Anolis sagrei: one gene and its partners. The protein of the gene in region 1 purifies or fractionates together with the protein of each later gene. This does not show direct contact. Links are inferred from orthologs where the notes say so. Each region holds a gene or a part of one and is shown on either strand. Other genes may lie near its edges.

Evidence for each region.
Region 2: the proteins of STAU1 (region 1) and FMR1 purify together in Homo sapiens (affinity purification with western blotting; 3 studies listed by BioGRID and IntAct, with this or other methods). This does not show direct contact. The link is inferred for Anolis sagrei from reciprocal best matches to the Homo sapiens genes STAU1 and FMR1.
Region 3: the proteins of STAU1 (region 1) and RPL6 purify together in Homo sapiens (affinity purification with mass spectrometry; 4 studies listed by BioGRID and IntAct, with this or other methods). This does not show direct contact. The link is inferred for Anolis sagrei from reciprocal best matches to the Homo sapiens genes STAU1 and RPL6.
Region 4: the proteins of STAU1 (region 1) and EIF2AK2 purify together in Homo sapiens (affinity purification with mass spectrometry; 4 studies listed by BioGRID and IntAct, with this or other methods). This does not show direct contact. The link is inferred for Anolis sagrei from reciprocal best matches to the Homo sapiens genes STAU1 and EIF2AK2.

The regions. Positions count from the first base shown.
Region 1 is NC_090024.1:220,680,335-220,688,376, forward strand, and holds the start of STAU1 (double-stranded RNA-binding protein Staufen homolog 1), read left to right. Parts: upstream 1-4,684; 5' UTR 4,685-4,862; intron 4,863-8,042. UniProt on the Homo sapiens protein: Binds double-stranded RNA (regardless of the sequence) and tubulin.
Region 2 is NC_090030.1:30,073,815-30,081,665, forward strand, and holds the start of FMR1 (fragile X messenger ribonucleoprotein 1), read left to right. Parts: upstream 1-4,542; 5' UTR 4,543-5,588; coding exon 5,589-5,639; intron 5,640-7,851.
Region 3 is NC_090034.1:30,300,757-30,308,970, reverse strand, and holds the start of RPL6 (large ribosomal subunit protein eL6), read right to left. Parts: upstream 3,180-8,214; 5' UTR 3,165-3,179; coding exon 3,141-3,164; intron 1,378-3,140; coding exon 1,228-1,377; intron 1-1,227. Other genes in the region: PTPN11 (tyrosine-protein phosphatase non-receptor type 11), read left to right, coding at 6,105-6,118.
Region 4 is NC_090021.1:51,153,035-51,160,768, forward strand, and holds the start of EIF2AK2 (interferon-induced, double-stranded RNA-activated protein kinase), read left to right. Parts: upstream 1-4,117; 5' UTR 4,118-4,594; coding exon 4,595-4,793; intron 4,794-6,883; coding exon 6,884-6,996; intron 6,997-7,734.

The DNA of each region.
Region 1 (8,042 bases):
CGCTAGCATCTCCCGAAGGACTTGATGCGGCTTACAAAGGCCAAGGCCTCAAAACACAACATAATGATACAAAAACCGAAATCAAATTAAAACAATTAAAGCAATATTAAACAACAAGCAATAAGCAATACACCAAGACACAATAAAACTGGGCCGGGCCAGAGTAATGGGTACAGAATTAAAAGTGCTGATGTGACAGGTGATATGTAAGGATTATAGGGCAAGTGCAGTGTGCAGTGCTCAGCAATCTCAATCCTACTAAAGTGCTTTTGGGACTTATTATGGAGTTTTCCTATTCTGGGAAGGCACATCGGAACAGCCAGGTCTTCAAGTTCTTTCTAAAGACTGCCAATGTAGGGGCGTGTCTAAGATCTTTGGTAAGGGTGTTCCAGAGTCGGGGGGCCACCATAGAAAAGGCCCTGTCTCGCGTCCCCATCAAACACGCCTGCAACGCAGGCAGAATCACGAGCAGGGCCTCTCCGGATGAGCGCAGTGAGTGCGTGGGTTCGTAAACGGAGATGCGGTCATGCAGGTAGGATGGCCCCAAACCGTTTAGGGCTTTGTAGGTAAGCACCTGCACCTTAAACTGGGCTCGGAAAATAAACGGCAGCCAGTGGAGTTCCTTAAACAGGAGGGTTGACCTCTCTCTGTAAGGAGCACCAGTTAACATCCTGGCCGCTGCCCATTGGACCAGTTGGAATTTCTGAGCCGTTTTCAAGGGCAGCCCCACGTAGAGCGCATTACAGTAGTCCAATCTAGAGGTGACCAAGGCATGGATCACTCCGGACAGATCAGCCTTCGCGAGGTAAGGAATGGTGGGAGTTGCAGTCCAAAACACCTGGAGGGCCCAAGCTTGCCCCTGCCTGGTGCAGCTGCCCCCTTATACACCTTATATACAATTTCACAAACAATATGGATAATAATTGCGTGCAGTATCTTGTGTACAGCCCACACAAGAACAACACTGGTCTTTGGATCCATTCTAGATTGAGTCTTGACAGCAAGAAGAACCGGCATCCGAGGACGGATTGGCAATAGCACACCCTTCCGCTTGGCTCCAGAGCTGTAAATCCCACCTCCTGCAAGGCATGCCGGGAGTTGTAGGATTCTGAGCTGCCGCGTGGAGGCAGGCGATAAGCCCTGAAGTTGAGGAGTTGCGTCACTTCCGGGAAGTGCACTTCAAACTTGCTGGGAAACGTAGTTATTTTGAGAGCGGCGAGCGAGAAGGAGAGAGGGCAGATAGGAGTGGGATCATATTGGGAAAGCTTATATATATTAATGATGATGTTAAGTGTTGTTATTAATGATATTTTATTTATTCATCATGGCAGAAGCTAATTGAGAATACAGTTGTAATGTATAAAGAAACCACAAAGTTAAAAACTTGGCATTATACTAAATTTACAATGTATTTTTGAAAGCTTTCATGGCTGGAATCACTAGGTTGTAGGTTTTTGGGGCTATATGGCCATGTTCTAGAAGCATTCTCTCCTGACGTTTCACCCACATCTATGGTAAGTATCCTCAGAGGTTGTGAGGACCTCACAACCTCTGAGGATGCTTGCCATAGATGCAGGCCAAACGTCATAGCATCATAGAATCAAAGAGTTGGAAGAGACCTCGTGGGCCATCCAGTCCAACCCCCTGCCAAGAAGCAGGAATATTGCATTCAAATCACCCCTGACAGATGGCCATCCAGCCTCTGTTTAAAAGCTTCCAAAGAAGGAGCCAACACCACACTCCGGGGCAGAGAGTTCCACTACTGAACGGCTCTCACAGTCAGGAAGTTCTTCCTCGTGTTCAGATGGAATCTCCTCTCTTGTAGTTTGAAGCCATTGTTCCGCGTCCTAGTCTCCAAGAAAGCAGAAAACAAGCTTGCTCCCTCCTCCCTGTGGCTTCCTCTCACATATTTATACATAGCTATCATATCTCCTCTCAGCCTTCTCTTCTTCAGGCTAAACATGCCCAGCTCCTTAAGCTGCTCCTCATAGGGCTTGTTCTCCAGACCCTTGATCATTTTAGTCGCCCTCCTCTTGACACATTCCAGCTTGTCAGAATAAGAGAATTCTTCTAGAACATGGCCATATAGCCCGAAAAACCTACAACAACCCATTTCCTTTGACTAGAAGCTGGCCACTTCGAGTGCCTTTGGTATCGCTGTGGCAAGGTCCTCCATTGTGCATGTGGCAGGGCTCAGATCATATTGTAGTAAGTCGGTGGTTTTCAACCTGTGGGTCCCCAGGTGTATTGGCCTACAACTCCCAGAAATCCCAGCCAGTTTACCAGCTGTTAGGATTTCTGGGAGTTGAAGGCCAAAACATCTGGGGACCCATAGGTTGAAAACCACTGTAGTAAGTGGTCTGTGGTTTGCCCTTCTCTACATTCGCATGTCGTGAACTCCACTTGGTAGCACTATCTCTTAAGATTGGCTCCTTATCTCGTACCAAAATGCAGTTAGTTCAGCACCTTCCAACTCGCCCAGTATCCTGTGTGCCCAGGGGGTGGAAGGGATCTTCTCATTTGGTATTGGCCACTGATTGAGATTCCAAGTTTTAGCCTGCCACTTTTGGATTCTAGCTTGCTGAGATGTTCCTGCGAGTATCTCTAGATCTTAGAAAAATATTTTTTTGATTTATGATGTTGTCCTATTGCAGTGGTTCTCAACCTGGGGTCCCCAGATGTTTTTTGGTAAACTGGCTGGGATTCCTGGGAGTTGTAGGTCAAAACACCTGGGGACCCACAGGTTGAGAACCATTGTCCTATTGCCTGATATTTGAACAGAGGATGTCAATGCCTTGGTCCTTTCATTACAGGCTGCTACTTCCCACCGGATGACAGGTGATGTAATACAGACTAAACAGTATAATTTCTCCAGCGGGGTAGATGTAGGCATACTGTGATAATGCGGCATGTCTCATTAAGAGCCACATCCACTGTTTTAACATAGTGAGATGTATTCCACACTGGGCATGCATACTCAGCATCAGAGTAGCAAAACACAAGGGCTGATGTCTTCACTGTATCTGGTTGTGACCCCCAGGTTGTGCCAGTCAATTTTCGTATGATACTATTTCTGGCACCCACTTTTTGCTTGATATTTTTAAAGTTTATATTGATGTTATCTATGTGTTGTTTTGATTTGTTTTGTTGCTCACTTTGGCATTGAATGTTTGCTGTTTTTTTCTTTTCTTTTCTGGAAGCTGCTGGGGAGATAGGGCAGGTTACAAATACATTATTATTATTATTATTATTATTATTATTATTATCATTATTATTATTATTATTTCCGTGCCTTTTTTGATCATTTTGTTTTGTACTTTATTGTATTTTAACATGTTGGAAGCCACTTTGGCTCCCTTTGTGGGAGAAAAGCAGGATATAATTAAAGATTCATTATTGTTGTTATTTGATACACAACAAGATTGGCACACAGCAAATAACATAACTGCTGGCTTTTGTATTCAATCACACATTGGACACTCCTCAAGTGTCTAGGACTGTGTGAGGTATCGGCGAATAATGTGTGCAGAGCCGAGTAGGGTGGCCTTTTGCAGCTGACAAGATGGTAATTTTGTCAGCGGTGATTGTTTTTAAGCACAGGCCAAGGCCTTTCAGCACTGCACCCAGTGTGCTGATCACCACTGGGACCATTATTATTATTTATATTTCTCATTATGTTCTGTTCTGTTTATCATTTGTCTTAATTTCTAAAGTATTATGTGGTTATTGTTATTTTGTATGGCTTTGCCTTGTCGTAAGCCATTCAGAGTCCCCTACAGGAGAGGGGCTGGATATAAATAAAGATATTATTATTATTATTGATAGAATCATAGAGTTGGAAGAGACCTCGTGGGCCATCCAGTCCAACCCCCTGCCAAGAAGCAGGAATGTTGCATTCAAATCACCCCTGACAGATGGCCATCTAGCCTCTGTTTAAAAACCTCCAAAGAAGGAGCCTCTACCACACTCCGGCGCAGAGATTTCCACTGCTGAATGGCTCTTACAGTTAGGAAGTTCTTCCTCACGTTCAGGTGGAATCTCCTTTCCTGTAGTTTGAAACCATTGTTCCGCGTCCTAGTCTCCAAGGAAGCAGAAAACAAGCTTGCTCCCTCCTCCCTGTGGCTTCCTCTCACATATTTATACATGGCTATCATATCCCCTCTCAGCCTTCTCTTCCTCAGGCTAAACATGCCCAGCTCCTTAACCCGCTCCTCATAGGGCTTGTTCTCCAGACCCTTGATCATTTTAGTCGCCCTCCTCTGGACACATTCCAGCTTGTCAATATCTCTCTTGAATTGTGGTGCCCAGAATTGGACACAATATTCCAGGTGTGGCCTAACCAAAGCAGAATAGAGGGGTAGCATGACTTCCCTAGATCCAGACACTATGCTCCTATTGATGCAGGCCAAAATCCCATTGGCTTTTTTTTTGCCGGTACATCACATTGTTGGCTCATGTTTAACTTGTTGTCCACGAGGACTCCAAGATCTTTTTCACACATACTGCTAAGCGGCTGAGGGGGAAAAAGAAAGGGCCTGAGGCTGTGAGGATTGGTTGTAGTTGAAGTCCAAACACCTGGAAGGCCCAAGTTCGCCCATGCTTGGTCTGTATAAATAGCAAGTGGAGTAGGGCCCCGCCCCTTACGCCGCCGCGCCTGCGTCACTTCCTCCCCCGGCCGGAGCTGGCCCCGCTCTCATTCTCTTTAGTGTTTGCCCTGTGCCTGCCTCCGCCGCCGCCACTCGCTCGCCTCCCCTCCCGCCCTGGACCCCTCCCCGCCCGCCCTGCCCGGAGCCTCCGATGGACTGAGCCGCCCGCCGCCCACACGAGCCGGCCCGGGAGCCGCAGCCCAGAAGAAGCACCAGGTGAGGGAAGGGAGGGAAGAGGCTGGGACGCCCCCCTCCCGTGGCCTCCCCTCGCAGCCCTTCGGGGGAGAAGGAAGAGCAGGAGGAGGAGGAGGAGACCGCGGTTGGGCCTAAGCCCAGGAGGAGGAGGAGGAGGGGTCTGGCGGAGGCTCCTCTCCTCTCCTCTGGTTGAAGGCCGGCCGGTGGGGGCGCCCGACTGCGGAGGAAGACCCCTTCCCCGGGGAACTCCAGCTTCCCGATTATAAATGGCCCCCACGAGAGGCCGAGAGAGTGACACCTTGACTTTTCAGATGGTGAAAGGTTCCCCCCTCCCCATGAGAGGGGGAGACACCCACGAGGGCCTTCCACACAGCCATATAACCCAGAATATCAAGGCAGATAATCCACAATGTCTATTTGGAACTGAGTTATCTGAGGGTCCTTCCGCACAGCCATATAACCCAGAATATCAAGGCAGATAATCCACAATATCTGGTTGGAACTGGGTTATCTGAGAGCCCTTCCACACAGCCATACAACCCAGAATATCAAGGCAGATAATCCACAATATCTGCTTGGAACTGGGTTATTTTAGGGCCCTTCCACACAGCCATATAACTCAGAATATCAAGGCAGATAATCCACAACATCTAGTTTGAATTGGGTTATTAGAAGGCCCTTCCACACAGCCATATAACTCGGAATATCAAGGCAGATAATCCACAATATATGTTTGAATCTGGGTTATTAGAAGGCCCTTCCACACAGCTATATAACTCAGAATATCAAGGCAGATAATCCACAATATCTGCTTGGAACTGGGTTATTTTAGGGCCCTTCCACACAGCCATATAACTCAGAATATCAAGGCAGATAATGCACAATATCTGTTTGTTACTGGGTTAACTGAGGGCCCTTCCACCCAGCCATATAACTCAGAATATCAAGGCAGATAATCCCCAATATCTATTTGGAACTGGGTTATCTCAGGTCCCTTCCACACAGCCATATAACTCAGAATATCAAGGTAGATAATCCACAACATCTAGTTTGAATTGGGTTATCTGAGGGACCTTCCACATAGCCATATAACCCAGAAAATCAAGGCAGATAATTTGCAATATCTGGTTGGAATTGGGTTATCTGAGGGCCCTTCCACACAGCCATATAACCCAGAAAATCAAGGCAGATAATCCACAATACCTATTTGGAACTGGGTTATCTGAGGGCCTTTCCACACAGCCATATAACCCAGAAAATCAAGGCAGATAATCCACAATGCCTATTTGGAACTGGGTTATCTGAGGGCCCTTCCACACAGCCATATAGCCCAGGATATCAAGGCAGAAAATCCCGCAATATCTGCTTTTAACTAGAGCCCCTTCCACACAGCTGAATAAAAACCCACATTATCTGCTTTGAATTGGATTGTATAAGTGTGAACTCAGATAACCCAGTTCTAGAGCAAATATTGTGGGATTTTCTGTCTTGATATTCTGACTGTGGGCCCTTCCACACAGCCCTATATCCCAGAATATCAAGGCAGAAAATCCCACAATATCTGCTTTGAATTGGGTTATTGGAGTCCACACAGATAATGTGAGATTTTCAGCCTTGATATTCTGGGATATAGAACTGTGTGGAAGGGGCCCTAGGGCCTCTTCCACACAGCTGTATAAAATCTACATTGAACTGAATTATATGGTAGTCTGGACTCGGGGCCCTTCCATACAGCCCTATATCCCACAATATCAAGGCAGGAAATCCCACATTATCTGAGTGTGGACTCAGATCACCCGGTTCAAAGCAGATATTGTGGGATTTTCTGCCTTGATATTCTGGGTTATGTAGCTTTGTGGAAGGCCTCCTAGCCTGTGTGCAGGGAGCCACCCTCATGAGTGTCTCAACGTCTAATGTGGGATTTTATTCAGCTGTGTGGAAGGGGGCTTGGCTTAATGTGCAGAATGTTGTTCCAAGAATACGGTGTATGAAACTACCTTCCTACGAAACGTAAACGGGTCCTTGTGTTTGGGCGTGTTGTCTCGTGTGTACATATGCAGGTGTTTCAAAATCTCAGGTCAAAATTACCCTTCCACACAGCTGTATAAAATTCACAGTGAACTTGTTGATATGGCTCAGGCCCCTGGCACTCAGCTGAACAAAATCCCACATTTTCTGCTTTGAACTGGATTATTTGGTAGATATCCCAGTTCAAAGCAGATATTGTGGGATATTCTACCTTGATATTCTGGGTTATATGGCTGTGTGGAAGGGCCCAATGACACTTCTGGCCCCAAGGATTTCAGATCAGGAATACTCCATCTATACAAGGGAAATTTATTTTCTGTTGCCTGTTTGACCTTCTTCTCTACACCTCTCAATTTCTTCTGGGTTTGCAGCTCGCACATCTGTCGCTCCTCATTGCCTCCTCCTCTATAGGCCCTTCCACATAGTCATATAAACCAGAATATCAAGGCAGAAAATCCCACAATATATGCTTTGAACTGGATTATCTGAGTCCACACTGCCATATATTCCTGTTCAAAGCAGATAATGTGGAATTTTATTCAGCTGTGTGGAAGGGGCCTATATCTTCTTTTTTGTGGATTTCCCAGAGACATCTGTGGTTTGGCAGATATGGGGCACAGAGAGACTTATGGTTTGATCCAGGCAGGATTGCTGTTGTGTTATGCATCTGAGGGATAACACTGGTTTACATTATGCTACCAAACTGATTCAGGATGCATCTATGCCAGCCATGGGTAAACTTGGGCCCTCAGGGCATTTTGGACTTCAACTCCTAACAGCTGGTATATGATCTATGCTGTAGAATTCATGTAAAATGCTGTAGAATCAAGGGGGACTGTACTTTTTTTCAAGATCTTTAGCCTTCCATGTCCAAGTGCCAAATTATAATCCCCGTGATTCCATAGCACTGATTTATGGCTGTTAAAGTGGTGTGTAATTGCATTAATTTTACAGTGTAGTGTAGATGCACCCTTAGTCTCGGAGGTGCTGAAAGATCACTTTTCATACTGTTACGTTCCTAGTAATTGAGCATCTCTCTGTGCACGAAAGTACAAAGGGGTGTAACAGTAGGAAAGTAGCTACGCCACTGGAGAAAATGCAATTATTAGGCTCACTTAGAATCAGCAACATTTCAGAGGAAGGAACTGAGCAAACCACCTCTGAGTATTAGGG
Region 2 (7,851 bases), on another chromosome or scaffold:
AATTAGTCGCTCTCTACCAAGGTGCTCCGAGCGACTTACAATTTAAAACAGTTTATCCACAATATAAAACATTAAATATAAAAACATTAAATATAAAAACATTCATATAAAAAAATTCAACATAAAAAATTCAACATAAAAACATTCAGCAGTGACTATGGCAAAATTTGATCCGGTTACTTAAATGCACAGCCAAACAGCCAAGTCTTGAGCGCCTTTGCAAAAGGTCGCAACTCCGACATTGCTCTAATATATGAAGGCAATGAGTTCCACAGAATTGGAGCATTGATCGAAAAAGCTCTATGCCTTGTAGTTTCCAAATGTGCCTCCCTAGGACCCGGTATGTAGAAGAGATTTTCCTGGGTGGATCGAGGTGACCACTGATGGGGAAAAGGAATGAGGCGGTCCCTAAGATATAAAGGTCCTTGGCCATTTTGAGCTCTCAATGTCAGGATCAGTATCTTGTAAGAGATCTGTTGTTCTATTGGTAGTCAATGCAGTTGTTGCAGAATCGGTGTAATATGAGATCTTATAGATGATCCTGCTAGCAGCCTGGCTGCCACATTTTGGACCATCCGAATCTTCTGGGTCGTTGACTTCGGAAGGCCAGCATATAAGGCATTGCAATAGTCCAACCTCGTGGTGACTGTTGCGTGGATTACTGTTGTCAATGCTTCTACCGAAAGGTAGGATGCCAATTTCCTTGCCTGGCGAAGATGAAAAAAGCCCTGCTTACTTATGGCAGTGATCTGGGCCTCCATCGTCAGCTATGAGTCCAACACAACCCCAAGGCTTTTAACAGTGGCAGACGGAACCAGAGCTTCCCCATCGAAATCAGGCAGAGACTGGGTTAATTCTGGTGGCTGGCCGGCCAGAGTATCTCAGTTTTTGCAGGATTGACTTTTAGTCTGCTTGCTCGTAGCCAACTCATCACTGCTTCCAAACACAGCTTAAAGTTCTCAGGAATCGCAGTTGTTCCAGGTTCGAGACGCAAGAGTAGCTGGGTATCATCTGCATACTGGTAGCACTCTATGCCAAAGCTCCGCACCAGTCCAGCAAGTGGTCAGATGTAGATGTTAAATAACAGGGGCGAGAGGATAGCACCCTGGGGAACTCCACAGCAAAGGTAGGAGCTTTCAGAGCTTTGGCCTGGCCACTCCACCCTCTGTGTCCAGTCCCGGAGGAATGAATTGAACCAAGCTTTTTCACTTTTAGAACAATGTACTCCTCTGTTCTGGGATTTACCGTTTTTCAACCACACTTGGCACACTGAACTCCCATGAGCAACAGATAATACTGGAAGGGTTTGGTGGGCATTGACCTTTCGTTTCGGAATTGTAGTACACCTACATCCAGAGAACACTGTGGACTCCAGCAATGATGGATCTGGACCACACTTGGCACGAATATGAAAACAGATAGACTTTGGGGAAAATACACCTTAACATTTGGGAGTTGTAGTCCCAGGGATTCAGTGTTCACCTACAATCAAAGAGCATTCTGAACCCCACAAACGACAGAATGGGGGCAAACTTCCCACACAGAACCCTCATGACCAACAGAAAAAACTTTACCCCATCCACTACAACTCCCTTCACCAGGGCAAGATAACGCAATCACAGTCCTCCTGACAAAGAGCCATCCTCCCATACATATGGATAGATGCATCTATCTATATATAAATGCTCTGTGCATAAGGAGTACCTTAAAAACAAAAGAACCAATGAACAAATTCACTCCAAATTTGGCAACAAAAGGTCTCACAACATAAGGAGTGACCATCACTCAAAAAATTATGATTTTGTAATTTGGGAGTTGTAGGTGTTGGGATTTATAGTTCACCCACAATGAAAGCGCATTCTGAACTCCATCAACGATGGAATCGAACCAAATTTGGCACACAGAACTCAAGAAAACGTAATCAAAGTCCTCCTGACAAAGACCAACCAGCCATAGATAGATAGAGATAGATAGATATGATTCACACACACAGAGATATAGTATCGTAGATTTATTTATTTACTTTGCTTGTATACCGCAGTTTCTCAGCCCGTAGGCGACTCAACGCGGTTCACAACAAGAGCAAAAAGTCAATCCAACACATACAATATTTAAAAACCATTAACAGCATAATATACAAATAATGACACATCAATAACAACACATTAGCGTCTCGTAACTAGAATCGTGATCCAAATCGTCATCCATAATACCGTTTCCTATATTCATCATATTCATTGCATTGTTTATCCGAACGCCTGTTCAAACAGCCAGGTTTTTAGTTTTCTTCGAAACACCATTAACGAAGGGGCTGATCTAATGTCCATGGGAAGGGTGTTCCACAGCCGAGGGGCCACCACAGAGAAGGCCCAGTCCCTCATCCCCGCCAGCCGTGCTTGCGATGCAGGCGGGATCGAGAGCAGGGCCTCCCCAGAAGATCTTAGAGTCCTGGTGGGTTCATAGGCAGAGATACGATGTGAAAGATAGATGTGAAAGATCTCGCGCGAATAGGCGACAGAATGAAGGGGGGGGAGTCTACGCGCCTGCGCAGTCGCCCCAACTGACTGGTCTCTCGCTCACTACCTCCCTCCCGTCTGGCGCTATATATCGCAAGAGTTTACAGTGTATCTATCCTTCCTCGTCCTCTCCTCCTCGTAATCTCGTGCGAAGAGGTGACAGAATGGAGGGAGTCGGGAATCGTGCGTCAGTCTGTGCAGTCAGGTGAAAGACAGATGTGAAAGGGACCCCTAAAGAAGGACAATAATATGTTGCATGTTCCAGAGTAGGCAAACCAGACAATCTCCACATCAACACTGACAAAGAAACAAGAAGAAATACTGTTTACCCACAAGCAGAAAGACATTACATATATTAGAAATCAAAAGAACCAATGACTCATTACTTTATTTTCCAGATCACCAAACTGGGCCACAGCAATGCGTGGCAGGGTCAGCTAGTTTTCTACAAAAATGGCCATTACTTCTGTAACCACATGCTCTGCTTGGCGAATGATTGCCGCTCTGCATCCTTTTCAGCTGAATCGCTAATAAACCTCGGTGGCACTTCTTTCAACTTGGTGAGACCTTTTACTGGGAAAAATCAGGGATTGGGTGCTTCTCTGTCTCGCCAGGGAAAAAGAACTCTTTGATGAGTCTAATTGGTTTCTGCCTCCTGGCAAAGACCCCTAATTCCTGCTTTGATTCTATGATTCTATGAAGGGGCCTGAGGCTGTTAGGAATGGTGGGAGTTGGAGTTCAACACTCCTGGAAGGCTCAAGTTGGACCATGCCCTGTGCAGACACTAAAACTCAAAGGGCCACCAGTGCGCATGCGCCTGCTCCTTCCTCCTCGAACTTGGTGGAAGCGCCTCACTCCGCGCTGGGCTGCAGTCCATGCCTGGGCGACAGAGTCTCGCGTTATTTAGCGAACATAGGGATTCTCCCCGATTCTGTCACCTCTTCACGCGAGATTACGCGGAGGGGAAGGCGACGGAGTATATACACTGTGTGTGTCTCGCGATACTTAGAGCCAACGGGAGCGAGAGTGTGAGCGGGTGACCAGGGTTGACCCGGCTTTTAGAGCGACTGCGCAGGCGCGGGCTGGCGGACTCCCCTATTATGTCACCCCGTCGCGCGAGATTACGCGGAGGGGCGTATACATACTGTGAATATACTCTCGCGGTACCGAGCGAGTGAGCCTGACTGCGCAGACGCACGATTCCCTACTCCCTCCATTCTGTCACCTCTTCGCGCGAGATCACGAGGAGGAGAGGACGGGGAAGGATAGACTGTTTTAACTCTCGCGATATATAGCGCCAGACGGGAGGGCGGTAGTGAGCGAGAGACCAGTCGGTTGGGGCGACTGCGCAGGCGCGTAGACCCCCCCTCATTCTGTCGCCTATTCGCGCGAGATTACGAGGAGGACAGGACGAGAAAGGATAGACACTGTGTATACTCTCGCGATACTTAGAGCCAGACGGGAGGTAGTGAGCGGGGAGGGCAGGGAGTATAGACGCTGTGGGTATACTCTCGCGAGACTTAGCGCCAGACGGGAAGTAGGCGTGTAGACTCCCCACTTCATTCTGTCACCTATTCGCGCGAGATTACGGGAGGGAGAGACCAGAGCTAACCCGTCTGTTGCGGCTACTGCGCAGGCGCGTATTCAGACTGCCCCACTCATTCTGTCACCTATTCGCGCGAGATTACGGGGAGGAGAGGACGAGGAAGGATAGATACTGTGTATACTCTCGCGATATTTACCGCCAGACGGGAGGGAGGTAGTGAGCGAGAGACCAGTCAGTTCGGGCGATTACGCAGGCGCGTAGACTCCCCCCCCCTTTCATTCTGTTGCCTATTCGCGCGAGCGGAGGGCAGAGAGTATAGATGCTGTGGGTATACTCTCGCGAGACTTAGCGCCAAACGAGAAGGAGGCGCGTAGACTCCCTCCTTCATTCTGTCACCTATTCGCGCGAGATTACGCGGAAGGGACGGCAGGGAGTATGAACACTGTGGGTATACTATCGCGATACTTAGCGCCAAACGGGAGGGCGTGAGAGATCAGAGCTAACCCATCTGTTGCGGCGACTGCGCAGGCGCGTAGTCAGACTGCCCCACTCATTCTGTCACCTATTCGCGCGAGATTACGGGGAGGAGAGAACGAAGAAGGATAGACACTGTGTATACTCTCGCGATTCTTAGAGCCAGACGGGAGGGAGATAGCGATAGACTTATCTGTTGGGGCGACTGCGCAGGCGCGTAAACTCCCCCCCTCATTCTGTCGCCTATTCGCGCGAGATTACGGGGAGGAGAGGACGAGGAAAGATAGACACTGTGTATGCTCTCGCGATACTTAGAGCCAGACGGGAGGGAGTTAGCGAGAGACTAGTCTGTTGGGGCGACTGCGCACGCGCGTAGACTCCCCCCTCATCCTGTCACCCATTCGCGCGAGATTACGCGGAGGAATATAGACACTGTGGGTATACTCTCGCGAGATTTAGCGCCAGGCGGGAGCGGGAGGGAGTGAGCGACCAGGGTTGACCCGGCTGTTGCGGCGACTGCGCAGGCGCGCGCTGTCCGGCCCCGCCCACCGCCGCTCGCCCGCCATTACGGCCTTCTCCTCCGCCGCCGCCGCCTCACGTGAGGGCGCCAGGCCTTTCATGTGGACACAGCGGCGCTCCGCCTCCTCCTCCTCCTCTTCCTCCTGCTTCCTCGCCGCCGCCCGCCAGCCTCTCTCCGCCCTCCTTCCAGGCCTCGGCCGCGTTTTCCCGCCGCGCTCCCTGGGCCTCCGCGGGCCACGGCGACCACCACGACGCCCAGCCGCGCCGAGGAGGAGGCCAAGAGGAAGGAGCCGCCGCTTCCTCCGCCGCAGCCGCCGCCGCCTCCCGCGCCCCGTCCCGCGCTGCGCCGCCGCCACCTGAGGGACGCCGAGGCCGGGCCCAAGAAGGGCGGCGGGGCGGCCATCACGACGGCGGCGGCAGGGGGGCGGCTAGGCCGCGGGGGCGGAGGGGGCGGCGGCGGGCCCCCTTCCTCCTCCTTCTCCGCCGCCGCCGCTTCCTCCGCCTCCACCGCCGCCGAAGAGGACGACGACGACATGGAGGAGCTCGTGGTCGAGGTGCGCGGCTCCAACGGGGCCTTCTACAAGGTACGCCGCCCCCCCTCCCTTCCTTCCTTCCTTCAAAAAGTCCTTACCGGGAAGCATTAACAAGAAGGCGGGATTGTAGGTTTGTCGGGCTATATGGCCATGTTCTAGAAGCATTCTCTCCTGACGTTTCGCCTCCACCTAGAACAGTGGTTCTCAACCTGGGGGTCGGGACCCCCAGAGGGGTCTCCAAAGACCATGAGAAAACATAGTATTTTCTGAGGGTTCTGTGTGGGAGGTTTGTCCCAATTCTATCGTTGGTGATGTTCAGAATGCTCTTTGGTTTAAGTGGTCCACGCTCCTGTTACATCCTGAATAGACTACTGCAACGCACTCTACGTGAGATTGCCCTTGAAGACTGTTCAGAAACTTCAACTGGTCCAGCGAGCGGCAGCCAGATTGCTCACCGGAGCGACATACAGGGAGCACACCACCCCCCTGCTGTTTCAGCTCCACTGGCTGCCGGTTCAGTTCCGAGCACAATTCAAGGTGCTGGTTTTCCCCTACAAAACCCTGTATGGTTCCGGTCCAGTGTATCTGTCTGAACGTATCTCCCTCTACGTCCCACCCCGGAATTTGAGATCATCTGGGGAAGCTCTGCTCTTGACCCCACCGCTATCCCAAGTGAGGCTGGTGGGGACGAGGAGCAGGGCCTTCTTAGTGGTGGCCCCCCACCTGTGGAACTCACTCCCGGGGGAAATTAGGGCATCAACATCCCTCCTCTCCTTCAGGAGGAAGGTAAAGACGTGGTTATAGGACCAGGCCTTTGGGCAATCTGACAACTAGATAAGGACAACCAGACGAATAGGACTGACAGGACTGACAATTGTGGAATTGGAAATTGAACTATGAGGTAGCGAACACTGACCGTCAATGAGGAGAAATTGGTTTGTATTGGTTTAAAGGTTATAATGCAAGAATTGTTGTTTAATTGTTAATTGATGTTATTTGTTTTATTGCTGTTATGTGATGTGGGCATCGAATTGTGCCTTGCTTTTGTAAGCCGCCCTGAGTCCCCTTCGGGGTGAGAAGGGCGGGGTAGAAGCAACCGAAATAAATAAATAATAAATAAATTATAAATCCCTGCAACTACAACTCCCAAATGTCAAGGCTTACTTTTCCCAAACTCCACTAGTGTTCACATATGGGCATATTGAGCATCTGTGCCAAATTTGGTCCAGATCCATCATTGTTTGTGTTCTTTGGATGTAGGTGAAATACAACTCCCAAACTCAAGGTCTATACCCACCAAATCTTTCCAGTATTGTCTGTTGGTCATGGGAGTTCTGTGTGCCAAGTACAATTCAATCATTGGTGGAGTTCAGAATGCTCTTTGATGGTAGGTGAACTATAAATCCCAGCAACTACAACTCTCAAATGACAAAATCAATCAATCCCCCCTAAACCCACCAGTATTCTAATGTGGCCGTATCAGGTATTTGTGCCAAATTTGGTCCAGAGAATGAAAATACATCCTGCATATCAGATATTTACGTTATGATTCATAACAGTAGCAACATTACACTTACGAAGTAGCAACTAAAATAATTTTATGGTTGGGGGTCACCACAACATGAGGAACTGTATTAAGGGGTCGCGGCATTAGGAAGGTTGAGAAACACTGATCTAGAAGCATTATCTCCTGATGTTTCACCTGCATCTATGGCAAGCATCCTCAGAGGTTGTGAGGTGTGTTGGAAACTACCCTACTGGGGTTTATATACGTGTAGAACAGTGCTCACGGTGGGAGAAAGAGCTCTTGTCTGTTTGATGCTGTTTGTTGGATGCTGCAATTGATCACCTTGATTTTTTTTATTTTCTATATTTATATATTTATTTACAATATTTGTTTACGATATTTGTATACCGCTTTTCTCACCCCGAAGGGGACTCAAAGCAGTTTCCACATAGGTAATGGCAAACATTCGATGCCAGCACAAACTATTACAATTATACAATTACACTTAGACATAAATCAAATTAAAATACATCCATAAACAGTAGAGCAATCATTAAAGCAGTAAAAAAATATATATAATGACCCTCTCAGCCCGCAGGTGACTTTATTCCAGATATATAAACTGCACTTTCTAGTTTCCGACAGATCTCACAACCTCTCAGGATTCCTTCCATAGATGCAGGGAAAACATCAGGAGAGAATGCTTCTAGAACATGGCCATATAGCCCGAAAAATCTATAACAACCCAGTGATTCC
Region 3 (8,214 bases), on another chromosome or scaffold:
ACAGCGGCAAAAAGTCCCCTCTTTGTAATTTCACCCTTACAGTTGCTACCTGTTTAGAATTCCTTCTTTCAGAACAAAAGTGTGAGAACACATCATAGCTCCCAGTGATGGAAAGGAAAAGCTTGGGGTGCAGCTATGCTGTAGAACAGTACTTCTCAACCTTCCTGATGCCCCAACCCCTTAATACAGTTCCTCATGTTGCGGTAACCACCAACCATAAAATTATTTTTGTTGCTACTTCATAATTGTAATTTTGCTACTGTTATGAATCGTAATGTAAATATCTGAAATGCAGGATGTATTTTCATTTACTGGACCAAATTTGGCACAAATACCTGCTTCGCCCAAATTTGAATACTAGTTGGGTTGGGGGGAGTTGATTTTGTCATTTGGGAGTTGTAATTGCTGGGATTTATAGTTCATCTACAACCAAAGAGCATTCTGAACTCCACCAACAATGGAATTGAACCAAACTTGGCACACAGAACTCCCATGACCAACAGAAAATACTGGAAGGGTTTGGTGGGCATTGACCTTGAGCTTTGGAGTTGTAGTTCACCAATCTCCAGAGAACACTGTGGACTCAAACAATGATAGAGCTGGACCAAAGTTCGCACAAATACTCAATATGCCCAAATGTGAACATTGGTGGAGGTTGGGGAAAATTAACCTTGACATTTAAGAGTTGTAGTTGCTGGGATGTATAGTTCACCTACAATCAAAGAGCATTCTGAACCCCACCAACGATCGAATTGGGCCAAACTTTCCACAAAGAACCCCCATGACCAACAGAAAATACTGTGCTTTCTGATGGTCTTTGGCAACCACTTTGACACCCCCTTCACAACCGCCCCAGGGGTCCCGGCCCCCAGGTTGTGAAACACTGCTGTAGAATGAATCCACCTTAGTTGCCTTGCTTCAGTGCTAAGGAGTAATGGGGGTGTACTTTGGCCTTCTTTCCAAAGAATGCTGGTACCTCACCAAACTACAAATCCCAGGCTACGCCATGACAATTAAGCTAGAGGCAAGGATCTCTGGGTGATGCTCCTGAAGCAGTTTCCCTTTTGTCTTTGGCTCAGCAGTAAGAGGACCATATGGCACAAATCTCATGCGCACCCTCATTTTGGCAAGGTTATTTCGCCCCAAAAGGCAAGTGTTTGACTCAAGTAAACAGGGCCATGAAAGAAGCACTGCTGCAGAGAGCTTTAACATCCGCATCTCTTCTACCTTTGTTTCCGGAGCTTTGTATTTGCGTTTGTACATGGCTTTCCGGGCGTACATGGCCGAGCGGGAGTACTTCCCGATCCCTCGGGCCAGCACTGGGTTGCGGCTGGTGTGGACTTTCCGGACTCGCTTGGTTTTCTTCTCGCCTGCCATCTGAGTAAATCATAAAATGTTAGTCACTTGTATAATGCAAGGAAGAAAGGAGGGACAAAGAGGGAGTGAGAGAGGGCCACCAGAAACAATGACCAATCCGTCACGTTAGTCGGGACTCAGGCCCCTTCCACACAGCTGAATAAAACCTCGGATTATATGCCTTGAAATTCTGGGTTATATGGCTGTGTGGAAGGGACCTCAAAGAAATCTTCTATCAAGATCCCAAAGAAAATGTGTACAAGACAATGTCCCGATGGCATTTAACCCCTGCTCTCAAGCAAGACCATTTGGGAATTTGGATACAGATGTGACCAAACATTACAGTACACATCAACTGGAGCAAGAATGGTATATATGCACAATATTGGAAAAAGATAGAATCGCTGACAGCTGAAGATTTGATCATAGAAACTTTCTAAAGGACATAATTCGCAATGATGCACAGGGACAAAACCCAAAGTGACTATGGATGGACTGCCCCTCCCCTCCCCCCATTGCCCTACAGCATCCAATCCCAGATTATCTGCTTTCAAATGGATCATGAGTCTACACTGCCAAATAACCTGGGATCATATCCTGGAATATATATAGGGCAGCATAGATCCAGCCTGGGAAGCATTTTTGAACTTACACAATTGTGGACTGAAGGCTTCAAGTCAGTTTGAGGCAGGGGGAAATGTGTATATTGCAAATATCTATGCTAGAGAGTTCAACCTAGCATCCTTATCTTGGAAAATATTAGTCCTATGTATTCAAAGTAGTACATCTTAAATGCCCCTTTCCCAAAATGCTTGAGCCAGAAGCACTTGGGGGTTTTTTTGTCCCCAAAATGTAGATGTCTTTATTTAGCTGGAGTTGGAAGCCAAATCTAAACAAAGTACAATCAAAATTTTCCATAAGCCCCATTCAATATCGATGTATTGCATTTTAATCCTGCTTTTCTCCCCATTTAAGGACTCCAGGCAGTAAACAATCAGTATCCTGTCTCCAAAAGACAGCAACGTTTAGTCCAAAATTCAAAGCAGCCTGGCCCAAAGTTACCCTTCAACCTTGGTCCCACATTGCACAACCAACTCCATGGGCCAGTCTGGCTCTTTCTGCAGCCAAATCTCTGACATCATGGACCTGGTATATAAAAATATAACATATACAATGCAATACAAATATATGTGTATTTATCTATACCCTATTTCTCTCTCCAAGGAGAGGTAAAGCGGCTACATAATATATACACACACACCTACATATATTACATACACATGTAACATTGCATTGTATAAAGTATTATTTATTATATATGTTATATATCTACATATGTTATATACATATATGTTACAATGTAGAATGTGTATTACATGTAATATATATTACATATTACATGATACATTTTATTTTATATATATATATATACACACACACACACACACACATATATAAAATCTACATATACATCTATATGTGCAATGCTAGGGAAGGCTGGGAGTTGTAGCTTGGCCAGGGCTTCAAGGGCTGGCAGCTCCCCAAACTACAACTCCCACCATTGCCCTGCATGGAGCTTGAGCAGATCAACTGCATGGGATTCTACAGGCAGCTTACAAGCATGGTCAATGACCAGCATCATGTATCTGAAGATACATCCACCTAAGATATATAGGATTCCAAGACACAGGCCTAAGGCTAAAAGACACGAAAATAATGCAGGCCTATCATATAGAAGTTCAAATGGAAGCTTTGCAAGAGATGAGGTTCAAATGCAGGTTTACCCCGTAAAGCAGGCATGGGCCCATGTTTGACCATGCCTGCCGTAAGGCAAAACTGTCCCTAAAAAGACAAACTCAATGGCTCCGAGCGCGGCCTATCCTGCAGGGCGACGCCTTCCCGCTCTCCACTCCCAAAATAGCAACCCCTCGCCTCCCGCTAGACATCCCCGAAGCTCTCGGTGCCTCCCCGCCTCCCGGGCGGCGCTCCTGTGTGGAGGATGGCCGCGGATAACAACACCGAGATTCAACGGAGAAGAGCCGCGCCGCCGCCATCCTTACCTTCCGAGATGGAGCAAAAAAGGAGGCAACATCCGGGAACTCGGCACTAAAGGGAGTAAGTGACGTGACGTCAGCGCGCTGGCCGGAAAGCCTCGAACGTCCGACAGATGGCGCTCTGGACGATAGCCGATTGATGTTATTAAAGGTGTCAGAAGCTAATTGAGAATACACTTATAATGTGTAAAATACTACAGACAAAGTGCCCTTCCAGATAGGCCCTATATCCCAGGATCTCAACCCAGGTTTTCTGCCTTAAATCGGATTACGTGAGTCCGAACTGCCAGATCATTTGGGATAAACAGAAAACCTGGGATCAGATCCTGGGATATAGGGCCTGCCTGGAAGGGCCCTTAGACTGCATTATAGTCAGTGTGGTTTGTTCTCCTCCGCACTCGCATGTTGTGGGTTCCACTTTGTGGCCCCGTTTCTTAAGATTGTTGCTGCATCTCGTAGTGCCAGAGCGCAGCCTGTTCAGCACTTTCCAAGTCGTCTAGTTTTCTATGTGCCCAGGAGGGAGTCTCTCACCCAGTCTCAACCAATGATTCAAGTTGCAGGTTTTAGCCTGCCACTTTTGGACTATTGCTTGCTGAGGTATTCCTGTGAGTAGATCTTAGGAAGCTGTTTCTTGATATAAGGTGTTGGCTTGCTGGCTGATGTCTGAACAGAGGACAGGCCAGAGATGTCCTTTCATTAATGGCTGCTACTTCCCGACAGATGTCAGGTGGTGCAACACCAGCTAAGCAGTATAATTTCTCCAGTGCCACATCTACTGTTTTAATGTGATGAGATTTATTCCACGCTGAGCATGCGTATTCAGCAGCAGAGTAGCGAATTGCAAAGGCAGATGTCTTCACTGTGTCTGGTTGTGATCCCCAGGTTGTGCCAGTCAGCTTTCCTATGATATTATTTCTAGAGCCCACTTTTTGCTTGATAGTCAAGCAGTGCTTCTTTTGAATCAGAGCTTGGTCCAGGGTAACTCCCAGGTATTTGTGCGTGCTGCAATGCTCTAGTGGGATTTCTTAAGGTGAAAAGCACATGCCTGCGTTTCGGATGGATTAGGAATCAGCCAGATTTCGCTGTAATAGACAGTAAGAGCACCTAGAGCTTCAGAGAGCTTCTGTTCAACCATTTCAAAGCTCCCTGCTTGAGTGGTGATGGCACGATCGTCAGCATAGATGAAACTCTGTATCTCACTGCCAGTTTGAGACACAATTGAGCTATAAAAACATTAAATGCAGGCATTTCCTATCAAGACCAATCAAGAACCTTAAAGAAGTGCAATGATTTTTAACTTTGAATGTTTTGATGGTTTTGATCTGAAATTTTGAATGCTGTTTGTTTTTTTTGTTGTTCATTCGTTCAGTCGTCTCCGACTCTTCGTGACCTCATGGACCAGTCCACGCCAGAGCTCCCTGTCGGCCGTCACCACCCCCAGCTCCTTCAAGGTCAGTCCAGTCACTTCAAGGATGCCATCCATCCATCTTGCCCTTGGTCGGCCCCTCTTCCTTTTGCCTTCGACTTTCCCCAGCATCATTGTCTTCTCCAGGCTTTGCTGTCTCCTCATGATGTGGCCAAAGTACTTCAACTTTGTCTCTAGTATCCTTCCCTCCAGTGAGCAGCCGGGCTTTATTTCCTGGAGGATGGACTGGTTGGATCTTCTCACAGTCCAAGGCACTCTCAGAACTTTCCTCCAACACCACAGCTCAAAAGCATCGATCTTCCTTCGCTCAGCCGTCCCTAAGGTCCAGCTCTCACATCCGTAGGTTACGACAGGGAATACCATGGCTTTGACTAGGCGGATCTTTGTTGCCAGTCTGATGTCTCTACTCTTTACTATTTTATCGAGACTGGACATTGCTCTCCTCCCAAGAAGTAAGCGTCTCCTGATTTCCTGGCCACAGTCTGCATCTGCAGTAATCTTTGCGCCTAGGAATACAAACTCTGTCACGGCCTCCACATTTTCTCCCTCTATTTTCCAGTTGTCAATCATTCTTGTTGCCATAATCTTGGTTTTTTTAATGTTTAGCTGTTTGTGTTTAATTCTGTTTTAATGTTTGTATATTTGCAATTGGATACCAATGCTTTTATGTCAAGCCACTTTTGAGTCCCCTTTGGGGAGATAAAGTGGGGTGTAAATAAATATAACAATAAGAGCCAAGCTGAAGAAATGGGGCTAAAGTGGAGTCCACGACATGCGAGTGTGGAGGAGAGCAAATCCAGACTATCTACTACAATGCAGCTTGAGCCCTGCCACATACACAATGGAGGACCTTCTCACAGCGACACCAGAGGCACTCCAAGTGGGCAGCCCCTGGTCAAAGGACATTTGGGACAATGCCAAGTTTCTAACTTTGTCTGTGGTTTTTAAATACATTATCACTGTATTCTCGATTCGCTTCTGACACCAACGAGAACATAAAGCACACGGGTCTGTTTTCCCCCTAACCAACGAAGTCAGAGGCTGAGTTTGGCGGGAGTGTCCCGGATGTTGGGGTGGGGGAGGGGGTGGGGGTGGGCGGGGCTTGAGGCGGCGTCGCCGGGGGATGACGCGCGGAGGCGGGTGCAGCGCCGCTGGCCTGTGTGTGGCTGGCTCCCGCTCGGCTCCCGCGGCTGGCCCGGCTCGTGGGCGTCGCCTTTCCCCCTGCGAGGCCCCCGGGCCCCCCTCGGAGGACAACGCTGGCGGGGAAAATGACCTCCCGGAGGTAGGCCCAGCGGAGGGAGGGAGGGAGGGAGGGAGGGAGGGAGGGAGGGAGGGGGGTGGATAGCAGAAGGGGGGGTAGCACCAAGCTCCGCCCCTTTGGCTCTTCCTGTGCCCCCCCCCCCCCCCCGCCCTGCAAAGAGAAGAAGAAAGGACAGCAATCATATGTGTTGTCCAAAACTTTCATGGCCGGAATCACTGGCTTGCTGTGAGTTTTCCGGGCTATGTGGCCAGAGAATCATAGAATTATAATAGAGTTGGAAAAGACCCCATGGGCCATCTAGTCCAACCCCCTGCCATGCAGGATAAGCACCATCAAAACAGCCCCGACAGATGGCCACCCATCCTCTGTTGAAAGGCCTCCAGAGAAGGAGAGAGAGAGAATCCTAGAATAGTAGAGTTGGAAGAGTCCTCGTGGGCCATCTATTCCAACCCCCTTCTGCCAGGCAGGAAAAGCACCATCAAAGCAGCCCCGACAGATGGCCACCCAGCCTCTGTTGAAAGGCCAGAGAAGGAAAGAGAGAAATAGAATCCTAGAGTTGGAAGAGACCTCATGGGCCATCCAGTCCAACCCCATTTTGCCATGCAGGAAACACACAAAGTGATAATAATAATAATAATAATAATAATAACTTCATTTGTAACCCGCCCTATCTGTCTGAGGGGACTCAGGGCGGTTTCTAACAAAGCTGGCCAACATTCAATGCCAAAAAAACAAACAGGCAACAAATCAAATTGAAAACAAATAATAATAACTTCATTTATATCCCGCCACCATCTTCTTCCAAAAAGGGACTCGGGGCGGCTTAGGGACTCGGGCAACATCAATATAAACTTATAGTGACAACCCAAACATAACCAAAATTAAGAACTTTACAAAATTAAGAAATATACATAATATAACACTTCAGACATACTTACAAGTATAAATCTAATGAATAAAAAGCATTAAGATACAAGATAATTTACAGTGACCAAGTATCCCTGACAGATGGCTTTTAAACAGATGGCTCTGTTTAAAAGCCTCCAAGAAAGGAGCTTCCACTGAACTCCAAGGCAGAGAGTTCCACTGCTGAACAGCTCTTCTTACAGTCAGGAAGTTCTTCCTAATGTTCAAGTGGGATCTCCTTTCCTGTCGTTTGAACCCATTGCTCTGAGTCCCAGTCTCAAAACAGGCCTACTCCTTTTTCCTATGACACCCCTTCATGTATGTAAACATAGCTCTCACATCTCCTCTCAACCTTCTCTTCTTCTGCAGGCTAAACAGACCCAGTTCTTTAAGACGCCCCTCAAAGAGTTTATTCATGGTCTCCAGACCTTTGATCCTTTTACTCGCCCTCTTCCTCTGGACACCTTCCAGCTTAGAGTCAGTATCTGCTTTGAACTGTGGTGCCCAGAATTGGACACAGTATTCCAGGTAAAGAGGTCTGACCAAAGCTGAATACAAAGGCACCATGACTTCCCTCGATCTAGACACTAGACTCCTTTGGATGTAGCCCAAAATCCCATTGGCTTTTTGAGCTGCTGCATCACACTCTTGTCTCATGTTCAACTTGTTGTCCACGAAGACTCCAAGATCTTTCTCACCTGGACTATTGTTGAGCCAGGCATCACCCATCCTGAATCTTTTCCTAAGTGTGGTAGCCTACATTTGTCCTTGTTGAAATGCATTTTGTTAGTTTTGGCCAATCCGCTTTCTAATCTGTTAAGGTACTTTTGCTTCCTGATCCTTTTTTCTGTAGTATTAGCTCCCCCTCCCAATTTGGTCCCATCTCCAAACTTGATCAGCCTACCCTCTAAACCTTCATCCCAAGTAATTAATAAAGATGTTGAACAGAACTGGGCCCAGAACAGAACCTTCTTTATGGCACCCAAATAGTCACTTCTTTCCAGGATGAAGAAGATGAACCATTGGGGAGAATCACGTTTGGGTTCAGTTGCTTGACTTATTCCGGATCTACCTAACCATAGTTTTGGCTAGCCCTCATTGGACTAGTCTGTTTGCAAGAAGGTCATGGGGGATTTTGTCAAAGGCCTTCCTGCAATCAAGGTATGCTAAGTCCACAGCTTTCCCTGCATCTACCAAGCTTGTAACTATCA
Region 4 (7,734 bases), on another chromosome or scaffold:
TGACAGCGAGGAGCCTTGGGACAAAAGGTGATGATCTTCATTCAGGCTTTGGGTGTCAAATAAAGGGATCCAATATGTGTGACTTCCCCTTTCCACTGTCAGTTCAACTGAAGTGAGTACTGATCAGCAGTTATCAGATGTTGCAGAGGAAACTACTTGTTCTGTACACAGACACAATGGATCATGATTACCACCTTTGTCCAGGACCTGGCCTATCCTGGATGTTCCAGGAAATTCCTCAGTGGGGCTCTTAGAATTATGTAATCTCAGAACTACATTACACAGAATGTCTAATATAAAGCACCTGTGGTCTTCTGTTTTATTTTCTACTGAGTGTGGATAAGGCACCTGACAAGCTGTTATCAGAAAAGTGGTTGCAGATCTTCTTATTGCTTATCGCTAACTGGTTGGAGTAGATGGTCAAATTTAGTTGAGTTTCGTTTTGTACAACAAGGCCTAGAATATCCAGACAATGAAGCCAAAATTGTAGTTACTGGAGGATTCTGGGAGTTGTGGTCCAAAAGGCAACTTACATAAGCTCTGAGCAGATCATCAAGTGTAGCAGAAAAACCCTGCATTACTTAGATGTATTTTTCCTTCCAGTTTCATGCTCTTGCCACCCAGGGCTGCAATCCTTTTTCCTCCCACCAAGGTATAAATCCTGTTTAAATCAGAGCATTTATCTCTGAGTAGATGTGTAGGTTTGTATTGCTAAGGTGTGGTCTACATTTACACCTTTGACAACAAGATTACAACAGTTAAATAATTTATCAGTATATGGATTGCATCTCCTGCAGCAATGCAGTCTTATAACTCCTGACAAGATTAATTTTATTTTAGGAATTATTATTATTATTATTATTATTATTATTATTATTATATACAAATATAGAAACATTAAAACAGAATTAAACACAAACAGTATTTTGAAAAATTAATTAAAACCCATCAAACATATTCCAAGTTAAACATCATAGCATCCTCTGACTTCATCTTCAAATGCCAGTTTGACTAAAAAGGTTTTAGCCTGCCGCCGGAAAGACAGCAGGGAGGAGGCTAGTCTGACTTCCCTAGGAAGAGGGGAGTTCCAGAGTCGAGGGGCAGCCACCAAGAAGGCCTTCTCTCTCATTCCCACCAACCAAGTTGGAGATGGTGGTGGGGCCAAGAGAAGGGCCTTGCTTGAAGATCCCTGGGCCTGGGCAGGTTCATACAAGGGAATGCAGTCAGTCAAATAGCCTGGACCTGAACTGTCTAGGGCTTTAAAGGTCACAACCAGTACTTTGAATTGTGCCCAGTAACAGACTGGCAGCCAGTGGAACTGCTGCAATGGGGAGGGGGGTTTGTCTACTCCCTGCAGCCATTCCCAGTTAGCACCCTGGCTGCAGTTGTTTGGACTAGCTGAAGTTTCCGAGCCTCACATAGAGCACGTTACAGTAATCCAGACGGGATAAAACTAAAGCATGTACCACACCTTGGCTTCTCAAGGAATGGGCACAGTTGGTGCACAAGTTGTAATTTTGGTCAACACAAAAACCTGGGGCTCCAGTTCCAGTTTTGAGTCCAGAAGTATCCCCAAACTGCAGACCTGTGTCTTCAGGGGGAGTGAGACCCCATCCAGCACAGGCTGGATCTCTATTCCCTGGTCTACCTTCCAACTGACAAAAAGCACCTCTGTCTTGTCTGGATTAAGTTTCAGTTTGTTTGCCCTCATCCAGTCCATTACTGATGACAGACACTGGTTTAGGGTCAGGACAGCTTCCTTGGCTTTAGGTGGAAAGGAGTAGTAGAGTTGGGCGTCATCTGCATATAGGTGGCACCATACTTCAAAACCCCGGATGACATCTCCCAGCAATTTCATGTATATGTTTGTGAGGAAGCGTTAATCCCACCGCTTGTCAACAAAATTATGTGAAGAAGCGTTAATGCCACCGCTTGTCAACAAAAATTATGTGAGGAAGCATTAATCTTCTTTAATGCCACCAATATTCTGTGAGGAACCTTCTTTTAGATATCAATTAAACTGCCACCAATATGTTTAGAGACGCTGGTTTATGTCTCTGTTTATCTTTAGTTGTGTTGTGAGGTGACTTTGGTAGTGTGGAATGCACCAAGCATAAAAGCAATGGAGGAGGCAGGTTTGAAATACAAAGAGAACAAGTTTTATTGTCAACAGAACGTAATTGTTGCAGTTTTGAGAATTTGAACTTGGCACAAGGCTTGATGTTACAAAATGGCTGGTTTGAGATACATACAGGCTTCTGATGTTACAATTCTACAAACTCCTTCTTTAGTGAAGTGCTTATACTACTTCAGAGTTCCCTATTGTGAATATCCACACTGTTTGCCCTATACTCGGAACAAACCACTGATCACCAGTCTTTCCTTACTGGCGATCCTTTAAACCCCCTCTGTTAGATTCTTTAACCTAAGCAATCTAACAAGGTAACACCTTCAGCTCTCTTGCTGAAGAAATATTCACAAATTCTAAGAACTACTGAATTCTCACAGCTTCACAACACTCTGAACCTCTTCCCCGGGTCTCATCCACCGGACTGAATATTAACTGACGCTTTCAAACCTTTTATTCCTTAAACTCCGCCCACCTCCTCTGAGGCTGTGTTACCATGGCAACCTATCCCTCACAGTTAGGCCATAGCAACTAATGTAAAACCTAAATACAGTTTAAATACAGTATAATAAACACTCTATAATAAACATTTCTCTACAATGTTGAACAGCATGAAGGACAAAATGGAACAATGAGGAACCCCACAGCACAGCGGCCAGGACCACCTTTTGGGTATGGCACTCCAGGAAGGACCGGAGCCACTGTAAAACCAGCCCCGGCCCATAGAGAGGACCCAGAAGGGTATCATGGTCAATGTATCAAAAGCAGCTGAAAGGTCCAGGAGAACCAACAGGGACACACTCCACCTGTCTAGCTCTCTTTGTAGGTCATCCACCAAGGCGACCAATGCTGTCTCTGTTTTATAGCTAGGCCTGAACGCCTTGGATGGCATTATTTTCCCATTGACTGACCTGGCATTTAGCAGCAGCATTTTCAACCTAGGGGGACAGTCACCCTGCTTATGTAAGGGACCCCAAATCTGAGCTCCTGTTGAAGATCCAATCACAGGAGGCAAACAGACAAAAATGTCTAGGCTCAGGAGAAGAGCAAAAGCAAGGTTTATTCCAGTATGGCCATAAGGAGACGGGTCAGCCGTACTGCACATGCAGGTCACAGTACTTTAAAAAAGGTTGCCGTGTACCACACCCCTTGACCACACATTATATAGGTTTTTCTTATCTATCAAGATTCTACTGCACATGTTTTCTGGGGCAAATTTCAGCCCAGCCCAAGTCTCAACTCTGTTCAGCAAGCCTTATCTTTACACTTAGCTTTTCTATTGCAGAGCACACATTTCCACCCTGCCATTGATGTGTTGCTCCTTCTCTACTGGGAGGGGTACACTTCTTCTTATTATGTTACCAAAGCAAATCTACTATGGGTATCGGCCTCCTTTAGTTATCCAGGTTATTAAATATAGGAGACAATTTGGAAGTAGTATGCATTCTATTTCGCTCCCTCTTTTGTTTGTGTTGAACCTGTTTCCCCCTTCCGCATCTTCTCCTGCTCTGTTTGACCCCACGAATCTAGGGACTTTCTCGCTCCTTAGAAAAACACATCCTTCCTGCACAGGGCAGGCCACCAGAGGATAAAGGCAAATGTTAACTTTTATTAGCCAGGCAGATGTTAACTTGAAGACCACCAAGCAGAGGGACAAGCAACAGTAGCCAAATCTGCTGCTCTTCTCCAAACAGAAGGTATTGACTCTCTTAGCCCTGGCAGACTCCAAGATGGTCCAAAGCAGAAGTTCTCAAACTGTGCAGCCCAAAAGGTTACAGGAATGCTGGGTGTGAAACTCTAATCTTCTGGGCTCAAAATTGTAGAACAAAGTTAAACAAATTCCCCAGGGAGATGTGCTGAACTTTAGAACACAATGCAAAAATATTTTTAAAGGCAATTTATGTGAAATGCTTGCCAAAGTATGCCAGTAACAGAACCATGTTATGCTTTAGGAAGTCTAATCTTATTGCATATCTTAACTGTATTTTAAATTCTTTTGGTTCAGTACTGGAACACATAAAGAAGACTTCTCGTAACTGACAAAGATTAGAAAGATCCTGTTACAGAAGTGCCTAACATTGCCAAACTGAGGAAAGTGTCAGCATCATAGTCATCCCTTAAAGGGGCAGAGATCTCTTTATTTCATCCACTTGGTTTCAGTTAGCCTATTTACTTCACCCTCTGGAGCCCCTGGTGTTCCAATCATGTTTCAGGAGTAATATCTCCTCCCAAAAAATAACTTTATTCAGCCAGCAAAATATTAAGCAATACTTTGCTATAGAAACAAATAAAGCCAGATAGTCTTAATAGCCAGTCTGAACTGGAATCCAGGGTGTGAGCTTATGTAATTCCGGACTTTGTTCTTCTGTGAAATATCCTTTGCTGAGCAATAAAGAGTGTCCAAGAGCACCGAACTGAATCTCCTCTTTAGAAGGGATCTGAATAAGACACCAGTGAGAAGAAAGGATGGCAAAGGAAAAAAGTGGCTTTGCAGAATTTGTAGAGAAGTTCTTAGAGGATGACAAGGATAACGATGATGACCTGCTATTTTCGTACAAAGGAGTCCTGTATCCTAGTCGGCTTTGTAAAGTTGAGACTTTTGAAGCTCTTGAAACCATGGAAGCCAGAAAGGATGATGTCTTGATAGTGGCTTATCCTAAATGTGGTGAGTAGTCTTTTAAGAGGAAATTAATACCTGACCTGCTGATTATTATTTGATGGCAGGTGCCATCTCTTTCCTGCTCAGTTGGAAGTATAGTCAGTCTTCTACATTTTCTGGGCTTAGAGGTGCAAAGGTGGAAAAACTGAATTAAAAATGCATTACTTTTTAACTGAGAGAACATCTCTTTAGAAATGTCTTATTCCTCTAGTGCAACTCTGTGGCCAAATTTGCCATACAGACATACTGGAAGTATGAGATACCTAGAAAGAACATATTAATCTAATATACAAATTCCTGCATATAATCACATAACAGTTGCCTTTGCATCTTAGTTGCACCCCCATGTTCAGGGTGGCAAAATGGGAATTTTAGTATTCTCTGCATAATAGTCATGCTCTTAGTTCACTTGCTCAGGATGTAACTGCCTATGGGACTTCACTCGACTACTGGCCAAGAGAGGCTCTAATGCTGGATTTTTTCCTCCGCTGTATAATAGTTGTATCTCCCTTTTTTAATCCAAAAAGGGATAAAAACGTGTGAAATACGGTAATGGTGAAATACGGTAATCAGATCCACAAATGTAAAACCCACAAATGTAGAGAGACAACTGTACAATGTTGCTTTCTGTTACCAAGGACAAGATCACATTAGAGCTCTACAGATTAGGTCCGTGTTTCCCTCTGAACCAGTTTGCTCCTGCAGAATTCTAGGGAATATAGTTTAGAGCGGAGCCTTTGAAATTCTGAGCTAGAGGTCCTTGGCTTCCCAGAATTCTGCAGAAGCAAACCAGGCAATAGGGAAACACAGGCCTGCAATTTAGAAGTCTCTAATGCAGTGGTTCTCAACTTGTGTGTCCCCAGATGTTTTGGCCTTCAACTCCCAGAAATCCTCACAGCTGGTAAACTGGCTGAGATTTCTGGGAGTTGTAGGTCAAAACACCTGGGAACCCACAGGTTGAGAACCACTGCTCTAATGTGATATCATCAGTAGTTAGACATTCAGGCTGGGTTGCCAGAATCCATGTTTACATCTACAAGCAAAGTTATGCTTGTCAGATGTCTGTAGTAGCCCATTTTGTATCTTTCTAATCCTTCTCCACATCCCACTGATCATCCCCAGGTTATGTAACTAACTAAGCAATACACACCTTCTTGCTCCATGTTCAAGTAACTGGTCATGGGCTGCTAACCTCAAACCTCTTAAAATCATAGAGTTGGAAGACACCAGAGTCATCCAGTCCAACCCCATTCTGTCAGGAAGGAATGCAGAATCAAAGCACCCCCGATTGATGGCCATTCAGTATTTGCTGTAAAACTTCCAGAGGCAGAGACTCCAGCACACTCCCAGGCAGCATGTTCCACTGTGGCAAACAGCTCTTACTGTCAGGAAGTTCTTCCTAATGTTTAGGTGGAACCTTTTTTCCTGCAGTGTAGAATTTTGTGAAATCTGTTTTGATCAATACATGTTTTTTAACACTGGCTCCTATACAAACAATAGCTTCTCTTGCAAACAGTACCTCCAGTTCTTCCTAAAGTTAAGGTGGAACCTTTTTTCCGGCAGTGTAGTATTTTCTGAAATCTGTTTTGATCAATATTGCTTTTTTACACTGGCTCTTATACAAACAATAGCTTCTCTTGTAAACAATACCTCCACTTCAAACAAATGCTGTGCATTTCAGAGCTTCAGAGAGAGTTCAGGCATAAAGCCAAAAGAAAAGTGGCCTCAGGATCATATCCTCAATTGCTTCGTGGTCTTCTTATCTGCTATAAATGCAGCCCAGTGATTTTTGCTTTAAGAATTCGTCATTTCATCCATCAGAATTTGCAATCCTGGGAAAGGATAAAATGGCAAACAATGGTTTACCTCACCTAAGGGGGAAAAACTAGATACACAAAGTATGAGGAGGGAGAATGTCATCCCAAGACTGTTCTTTGCTAATCTGCAAAATGCTAAATGATTGTTAAAATTATTAAAGTCTAGTTATTTTAATATCAATAATTTAGCACAGACGTTGGCACACTGACTGTACTCTTGTCTCTGTGTGTCTTATGTTTTTGGAAGCCATATGGAACTCATTTGCCTTTATGTTGCAGGTACAAATTGGTCATTATATATTTTAAATGATATGGTGGCAGAAATTCACAAGGATATTTCACCCCCGAATAACTTTCAACTGCTTGAGTTTGGACGTCCAGAAAAAATTAAGGTCAGCATGAACTCAAAGTCTTTCTATGAAAGTCAGTGTATATATGACAACTTATTAATGTGCAATTAATTTGTCATCAATGTTGGGAAGGTAGTATTTAATTCACTGCTAGTGTTAATTTATATAAATGATTAGTTTTTAAAGAAACCAAGGGGCTTTCCAAGCACGACATGTTTGTTTGTCAGGGTTGCCCTCTAGTGGCTACTTTTAGTGGGTCCTTCATAGGGGTTTAGTTTTTTAAATTGGTCATTCATTCAGTTTGGCATTTTCCAAATGCACTGGATTACAAATCTGAGAGTCTGATTTATACCAGGGAATGGTGGGAGTTGTACTGCTATGAATTCAGAAATGTTAGATTAGAGTCAGCTTTTCTAAAGCATTGAATCTAGCAATCCAAGCATTTGGGTCTTGTCACTGATCTGCATTTCTCTTCTGTCCACTGCCATTTGTCCATCTGTGCTGAAATGTATCTTGTTGATGCTTCCTTCAAATACAGGTTGAGTATCCCTTATCTGGAATGATTGAGGCCAGGATTGTTTTGGATTTTTTTTCAAATCTTGGAATAGCTGTATTTGCATATATGTCTATAAATTGGACATGAGATCCAAATGTAAACATTTTTGTTTCATAAATGCCTTATGTACATGCTCTGAAAGTAGTTTAACATCATATTTTGAATAATTTTGTGCATAAGACAAAGTTTGTGTGCTCTGAACCATCAGAAATCAAAGGTGTCAC